Linked DNA regions of Neurospora crassa OR74A. The protein of the gene in region 2 purifies or fractionates together with the protein of the main gene of each other region. This does not show direct contact. Links are inferred from orthologs where the notes say so. Each region holds a gene or a part of one and is shown on either strand. Other genes may lie near its edges.

What was found.
Region 1: the proteins of NCU03042 (region 2) and NCU00348 purify together in Saccharomyces cerevisiae (affinity purification with mass spectrometry; 4 studies listed by BioGRID). This does not show direct contact. The link is inferred for Neurospora crassa OR74A from reciprocal best matches to the Saccharomyces cerevisiae genes HSH155 and RDS3.

Annotation. Positions count from the first base shown.
Region 1 is NC_026503.1:3,536,915-3,539,870, reverse strand, and holds NCU00348 (pre-mRNA splicing factor), read left to right. Parts: upstream 1-1,341; 5' UTR 1,342-1,597; coding exon 1,598-1,614; intron 1,615-1,723; coding exon 1,724-1,997; intron 1,998-2,111; coding exon 2,112-2,147; 3' UTR 2,148-2,455; downstream 2,456-2,956. Other genes in the region: NCU00349 (hypothetical protein), read right to left, coding at 1-7, 70-138, 202-849; pex26 (peroxin-26 Pex26-Penicillium chrysogenum), read right to left, coding at 2,692-2,956. UniProt on the Saccharomyces cerevisiae protein: Required for pre-mRNA splicing. Involved in regulation of drug sensitivity and may play a role in multidrug resistance.
Region 2 is NC_026501.1:8,343,983-8,348,219, forward strand, and holds the start of NCU03042 (U2 snRNP component prp10), read right to left. Parts: upstream 2,802-4,237; 5' UTR 2,461-2,801; coding exon 1-2,460. Other genes in the region: NCU03041 (hypothetical protein), read left to right, coding at 3,045-3,695, 4,075-4,237. UniProt on the Saccharomyces cerevisiae protein: Contacts pre-mRNA on both sides of the branch site early in spliceosome assembly.

The sequences.
Region 1 (2,956 bases), on a different chromosome or scaffold from region 2:
TGTAGTACTAGTAGTATCATTAGCCCTCGATTCAAGTCGTGTTCGTTGTCCCAGGGGTCAAGTTCTTACAACTACCGGCTCGCTGACAGTTCGCAGACTATGAGCCAAGATAAGCATCTTTTCATGCCGCCGGTGCATCTAAAAGTTAAAGGGGTCTGTTAGTAAGCATGTTCAACAGTCCGTTGTCAAAGGACAACCTACCATCCGCTCTTCGAAGTCCACCTGCTTGGCATCCCGGAAGCGTCTGCGTTCAGCGAGCAGGTCGGTTCTGCGCCTATCATCCTCGACTCTCTGCTGCTGCACTCGTTCCTGCTGGCGGCGTTCAATCTCCTTTCTCCTCTTTTGCTGCGAGTTGTTGGGTGTAGTCTGACTTAGAGTGTTGAGGAGACCACCAAACAAGCGCCTGCCGCGTTTCTTCTCCTCCAGGCTAACATTCTTCCGCGTTTGTTCGGGGCTAAGTGGTGCCTTTCGAGACGGCGGTGCGGCCTGCTCCCTTTGCTCGTCGGACTCTCTCCTACTAGTAGTGACTGGGCTTTGAACTGTGGTTTCTTGGGCGCGTGCCACAGCTTCGTTCTCCATTGGATGATCATTGTCCTTGGTAGTTGACGTGGCGTGGATCTCCCTCGCTGTGGCGACCGGCTCCCGCATCGAGTCCTTTACAGGTTCCTCTGTCCTGCCGGTTTTTGGCGTCGCTTCCCCTTCAACAATCTCACTGATCCTGCCCTGGACGTTCCCGTCCTCCAGTTTGGTGCGCTTAGCAGCCACGCCATCCTCTGGCGATGGTGAGGAAGTGGCCTTTCGTTTCTGGGTAGACAAGTCCTCTGTTTCCATCATCGGTTCCGAAGACATGAGTAGGAAATCGACAGCAGCTTGGCGTTGAAGCTGAAGCAAAGGTGTTGGAGTTGTAAGGTCTTGTAGCTCGGAAGTGATTGGCAGAAAACGTGATCGGCGTAACAAAAAGGTTTTGTTGTGCGTTGCAGTTAAAGGTCGAATGTACTTCTCCCATATATGTCGAATGGCCGGTTTGATCTCCCAACACGCCCGGTTCGTTGTTGGAAACTGGTGTTGGTGGATTGATGGAAGCCAAATTGTTAGTGACCGGCTGTGTCCAGAACTTCTCCAGTGGGAGAATCACAGTGAGCAGCTTCCCCGAAAGTGGATTATTCAGGGTAGTCCGCTGTTCGAGGCCGCTCGAATCCCCCTGTTCGGGGAAGCAGCTGGGAAGCTAACCCCACTTTCCTGCACCAGTCGCATGTCTTGGCATTTGAAGATCCGCTCTTCCACGAGGCTGACAGAAGAAAACGCGGAAAACGCTAGAAGAGGACGCCACATCGCTACCCACTTGCCGCCGAGGCTGACGAAATTCGATTCCACATCGGCATCGCCAGTGATCGCATCTTTCGCCTTGCATCACGTTCCCTATCGTCCTCGGCTACAACCACAAGTGCCATTTCGAGACCAGATTCACCGTACAGCGCATTCTCTGAGCGATCAATTTATACTACGCGACAGCACCACGCGTGCCCATCTCACCCGAATTTCAATCCTTCTGCCTACCATCACCGTCGCGAAAACACATCATAATCTCTAGCCCACCATGTCTCGCCATCATCCGTACGTCTCTTTTATGCTCGCTTCCCTCCTTGCCCAACCCAGCCCTGCTTGACCCTTTCTTGATAAACCTTCCCGACTATGTACATACTAACATTCCCGTTCCCCACAGTGATCTAGTAATGTGCCGCAAACAATCCGGCATCGCCATCGGCCGTCTCTGCGACAAGTGCGATGGCAAGTGCCCCGTGTGCGACTCGTACGTGCGGCCGACGACACTGGTGCGCATCTGCGACGAGTGCTCGTTCGGCAACTACCAGAACAAGTGCGTGGTGTGCGGCGGCGAGGGCATCTCGGACGCGTTCTACTGCTTCGAGTGCACCAGACTCGAAAAGGACAGGGATGGGTGTCCCAAAATTATAAACCTGGGTAGTTCCAGGACGGATGTAAGTTCTCTTCTTCTTTTTCCCCCCCCCTTCCCGCTTGCCGTGGGATAAAGTGCTTGGAGATGGCGTGCTCGTAAAGATTAGAGGCTAACGAAGTACGTTTTCACACAATAGCTATTTTACCAAAAGAAAACAAATCGAACATTTTAACAATAGAGATGCCCGGGCATGGGCTTGTGTGGGAAGATTGTTTGGGGTGGTTAGTTTCCTGATATGAGATGGGCTCCTGGCTGTGACGGATGGAAACCATGTTGGAAGGGGCATATAACTTCGAGAAAAGAAATTTGTCACAAGCTCAAGCTGCATTTGACTTGGCATCAAGGGCGTTAGGGAGTTCTGTTCACATACATAGCATAAGAGGGCAGGAGTTGAGAAAGACAAAGCTGAAAAGCAAGCACGTACTCTTAATTAGGCGTTGACTAACATGGCCTTGGTTACTCTTTAGAGATTTTGCCATCACATGTCAGGTTGCAGTGATTGTGTCATCTCTTTTGACTATGAACTGAAAACGAAACAAGCTATTTTCCGTGATGCATGACCCATTAACGATAGACTCGAAACAAAACTGTCGCATGCCAAAACCTGCTGCGACAACAGCCGCAATGCTAATTATCATCAGAGCAGGAATATTCCCTCCCTTACTCCCAATGTCCAAAATAATACTGGTACCCAAGCAGCAAAAAAGGGGCTCGGATCAAATGTAACTAACTTTCATCCCCATTCCAGCCGTAGCCTTCACTTTCCCCCACCCTTGCTGCACCACTCTTGTGATTCTCTCCCTCACGCTCTTTTTGCTGAACATCAGCAGGAACCCGATAATGAACGCCAGCGTCCGGTACAGCAGGAACGGGTTCCCATGGAATGCCGTCATAACCTGATCCAACACCGACCGGATATTGTTCAGTATCAAAGCCGCCTTCGTGCCCATTCCAGGGCCGGTCACGGCACTCGAAGAAGAA
Region 2 (4,237 bases):
CTCCACGCTCTGTTCCTGGAACGCATGAAGAATGCCATCGATAAGGCGTTCTTCCAGACGCTCGCCAATATCGGCAGCACCGAGAGAGGCCACAATCTTTTCAACCGTCTCCACCGTCATCTTGCGGTAGGCTTCGCTCTCGTCCTTTAGGTTGGCTACGATCCTTTCCAGAATCTCGCTGACACCAACCTTTTGGCCAATGTCGACAGTGGTCTCAACGACCTGTCGGTAGTTGCGCTTATCCAGAGCCATACGCCGTACCCAAAAGCTCTTGAAGAACTCGTCCAGCACATGCTCCTTTAGGTACCCAGCCGTTACTCCATCGGTGGCGGCGCACTGTGAAATCACCTTTAGCACAACCTTCTTCATCTCTTCATCAGGAGAGGCAAATTCTCGTAGCAGAATCTCCATAATCTGACTGGTGTAATAGTTGGCATAGTCTTCATCCATAAGCGGGATAATATAACCGACAGCCTTGAGGAAACCCGCCAGACCCTTGCCTCGCTGCTTTCGGGCACCGGTCCAAAGGGGGTTGAGAATATCATCAAAGCTCTCGATACCGTAGGGGTTAGATGCCTCGGCGAGAGCTGCGATGGCCAAACTGGTCACTGTGCGGACCTTGGTCTGTTCATCGTTCAGGTTGGGTCCGATACAGTCAACCAGCTGCTTGAGATGGGGCAAGACTGCGCAGCCCATCAAGATGGGAATCTGCTGGACGATCTTGACACCCGTGTGACGAGCCTGCCACGACTTTTTGCTTCGGCACACAGCTCGCAAGAAGGGGAGCAGAGCTGGGATACCCAGAGCCGAGGCAACGACGGCAAAGGCTCTGGCAGTAGTGTTTCTGACATATTCATCGACGTGATCAATATCTGGACGCATGACACTGATCATTGTGGCAAGACCAGCAGCCTTGCTGAGGTTCGAAATGATTTCCCGACCCTCAACACGGGCATAGTAGTCCTGATCGATAAGAAGGGGTTCGATAACGACGAGAATCTTGTGAACGTATGGTCGAACCATGTCATCGAGCTTGTACAAAATACGATCAATAACCTTGACGAGAAGATGGCGTTCCTGGTCCTCCAATGTTTTCTCCATGAGCAGAGGAAGAATTTGGTTGAAGAGGGGGCCGGCACCAAAGTTGCGAGCATTATCTGTCAATTGTCTGAGCGCAGTCTTTCTCATAGGAGGAGTACCGTTCTTGACCTTCAGCAAGAGCCTCATAATCTTTCTCTCCTTGAGCTCTTCGACACTCAAACTTTCCTCATCTGCTCCGTCGGTGAGCTTGCCGAAGTATGCCATATCTTCGGGCTTGAAGAATTGCAGGTCTCCCACACCGGGAATCTCCTTTGGCACCTGCTGGCCTGTCATCCGTCCGCTGTCGGGGTCCTGCATCATGAAGCCCGTTGTTGGGGCCGGAGCCTGCATCAGCTTGTGTGCCGGTGCTCGCACGGGGGCATACCCTGGTGGCGGCTCAAGAATCTTGTAACCTTGTTCGGGGCCTGGAAGCATCGCGTCCAGCTCTTCGTCGCTGAGTGGTGCGTAGCGACCGGCCGCATCAGCCCCGAAAGCTGGGGGCACGACAGCGGTCTGGGTAGGGTGCATCGGGGTAGCTAGGCCGACATTACCAACAGGAGTGGCAGAAGGCGCCTGGTCCCAGCGGGATCGCTTCTTGGGTTCCGCCCCTGGCGCCCCTGGAGCGGGAACAGATGGTGCTTGATCCCACCTAGACCTCTTCTTGGGCTCTGGTGCCGGGGTAGCATCATCTGTAGAGGCGACATCCCATCTCTTCTTGCGCTTCCGACCAGCCGCAGCTTCAGTAGAGCCAGCCTCCTCGTTCTCCTTGTTACCGGAATCCTGAAGGGTAGGCTGGTGCTCCTCGACCGGACCGCCCTCCTTCATCTTCTGTTCAATGGCGCGCCGTACGCGCTCTTCCTCTCGCTCAAGCTCGCGGCGTTCCATGATTTCCCGGTAACTCTCGCCTTCATCAGTGGCACCTGCTTGGCGGTTGGCAGCAAATGGGTCGGCTCGTGTAGGGGTCAGAACGCGGTCAAATCGGCGCTTCTGGTAGTCGGTCTCCCTGTCGGTGATGCGGTTGCTCTTTTCGCCCCGGCCAGCCAGGGGATCATCCTCCTCGACGCCATCGCCGCGTGCAAACTCATCGATCTGAGCTCGGGTGGCGGTGTACTGTCCTACTAGGCGGCGGCCGGAGTCGGCATCTTCCATCTCTTCGTCGTCGCCATCGGCAGCAGGCAGGGTGGTGTGGTAGCCCGCAAACTTGTCGCCGGTGTTGCGCTCATACAGATCGGTGTCCCATATTTCTCCCAGCTTGGCTTTGGTGCTGTTGTCGGATCGTTGGTTGGCAGGATCAAAGCTGCGCGAACCGCTCTTGGCGGCAGCAGCAGCATTGCGCTCCTGCTGGAGCTTCTTGATCTGCTCAAAATCCGAGTCCGACATGGTGCTGGCCGTATCCTCCTCGTGTCATGTCAGGTCGGGGTCGTCGCAAGAATGTCCAGCGCGCCGCGAGGGTGAATGATGGTATGTGGTCGGGAGGAAACGGGACGTGATGATGTGGCGCTGCCCGTGGGTGGTTGGGTGGGATCGGGTATGGTAACTGACGGGGCAGCTAAATTGACGGTGACAGTTTTGACACTTTGTCGTGTATAACTGAGGCTATCAGCAAGGGAATAGACGGTGGAGGCAGAGGGATGCAGGTCACGGCTGAAGACGGGCGCAGTGGATGCGGTACGGTGCACACGCCTTCCCTGAAATTTTGGCCAGCGACTGGTGACGGGACGTGACCGTGAGAGAGCTGACACGGGCTTGGCAAGGCTGCACCTGAAGTTTCCACTCCAAGTGGCGCTCCAGGTGCATTAGGTAAGCAGTCCAGACCTCGACGCTTTCGATCGCGGTGGGGAGCAGGGGAGCTTCCATCCATTTCCACTTAGCTCATGTGGGGAGGCAGCACTTTCACTTTCCACACCCTCAACTTCCATCCATTTCACCTCTCTCAACCTCGCTTCATCTTCGCTTCGACCAGCATGACATCCCAACCTGCAACGCCGCTACTGTATGTAGAGTTGCTTTCAAATATCCGCCAGATATCGCTGGCCATCTCACTGGGCTCTGCAAGCGATGCGTCAACACGAGTAGTGGTGGCAGCGGATGGAGAGAATGTCGAGCTCACACACCATGGACAGTCACATACACTACATCTACCCGCAAAGGTAGCCCTTGGCGGCGCCATTCTGCCAATACAAAGACCTGGAGCCTCTGCGCTCTCCTGGAGGTTACCGTTGGGTCAAGGAACATACACGGATGCATCATCAGCCGAGTCGTCCACTTGGACAGCCACCGATTTGAAGGCCGGGTCCGAAGTTGTTTGTAGACAATGCCAGGCCGTTGTTGTCAAGCGAGATGTTGTCAAGGTGTGGAAAGACCTCCCGAGTGAGAACTGGGCTGAGATGATGGAGTTTTGGCACTGTCACAAACCTGGTGACCACGATCATGACCATCACCACCACGACAAGTCAAACGGCGTTGATGCCAACGGGCAAAGCGATAGGGCAGATGACATGAGTCTTGCAGCTCGAGGATATGGCGCGAGCTCGGCCATTTCGGCGCAACAAGGTGTTGGGTTTGTTGATCTGACAACGCTGTTATTCGTCGAGCAGGACTGTTCCAACATCACGGTAAGTCCATATGTAGCATGCTCATGACTTGGTCTATTCACCGTCTCGAATGCGTCCATTTGAATCTTAGCAGTCGGGGCATCAAGAAGGTAGCCAAGTCGGCCTCGGCCCCTCAATGGCATGGATACCGATACAAATGCCCAAAATCAAGCAGACTCTGTCCCCTGCTTATGCGGGGCATTGAGTGGTCGACGAACCTGACTTCTGTGATGGGGCGCTTCCAGTCGGTGGATGACAGGCTGAACCCTCCGCATTTCGCCAGATCATTGCCAAGTCCTAAATGCTCTGGGATTAACTGGAGGAACATCCTTTCTCAACTCTTCACACCAGTAAACCTCTCCCCTCGTCAGTTAGTGCTGACCATGTTTCCGCTCTTTAGTATTCACTCTCTACCCCTGAGCATGGATCACCAGATAGGCAAGTTGTTGCTTCAGACGAAAGCAGCAACCAGGTTCGGAGCCTCAACGTGTTTTGCTCTTCCTGTCAATCCCAGCTCGGTTTTTACAATTTCCGGACAGCCGCAGTCACACTCCTAAAGTGGC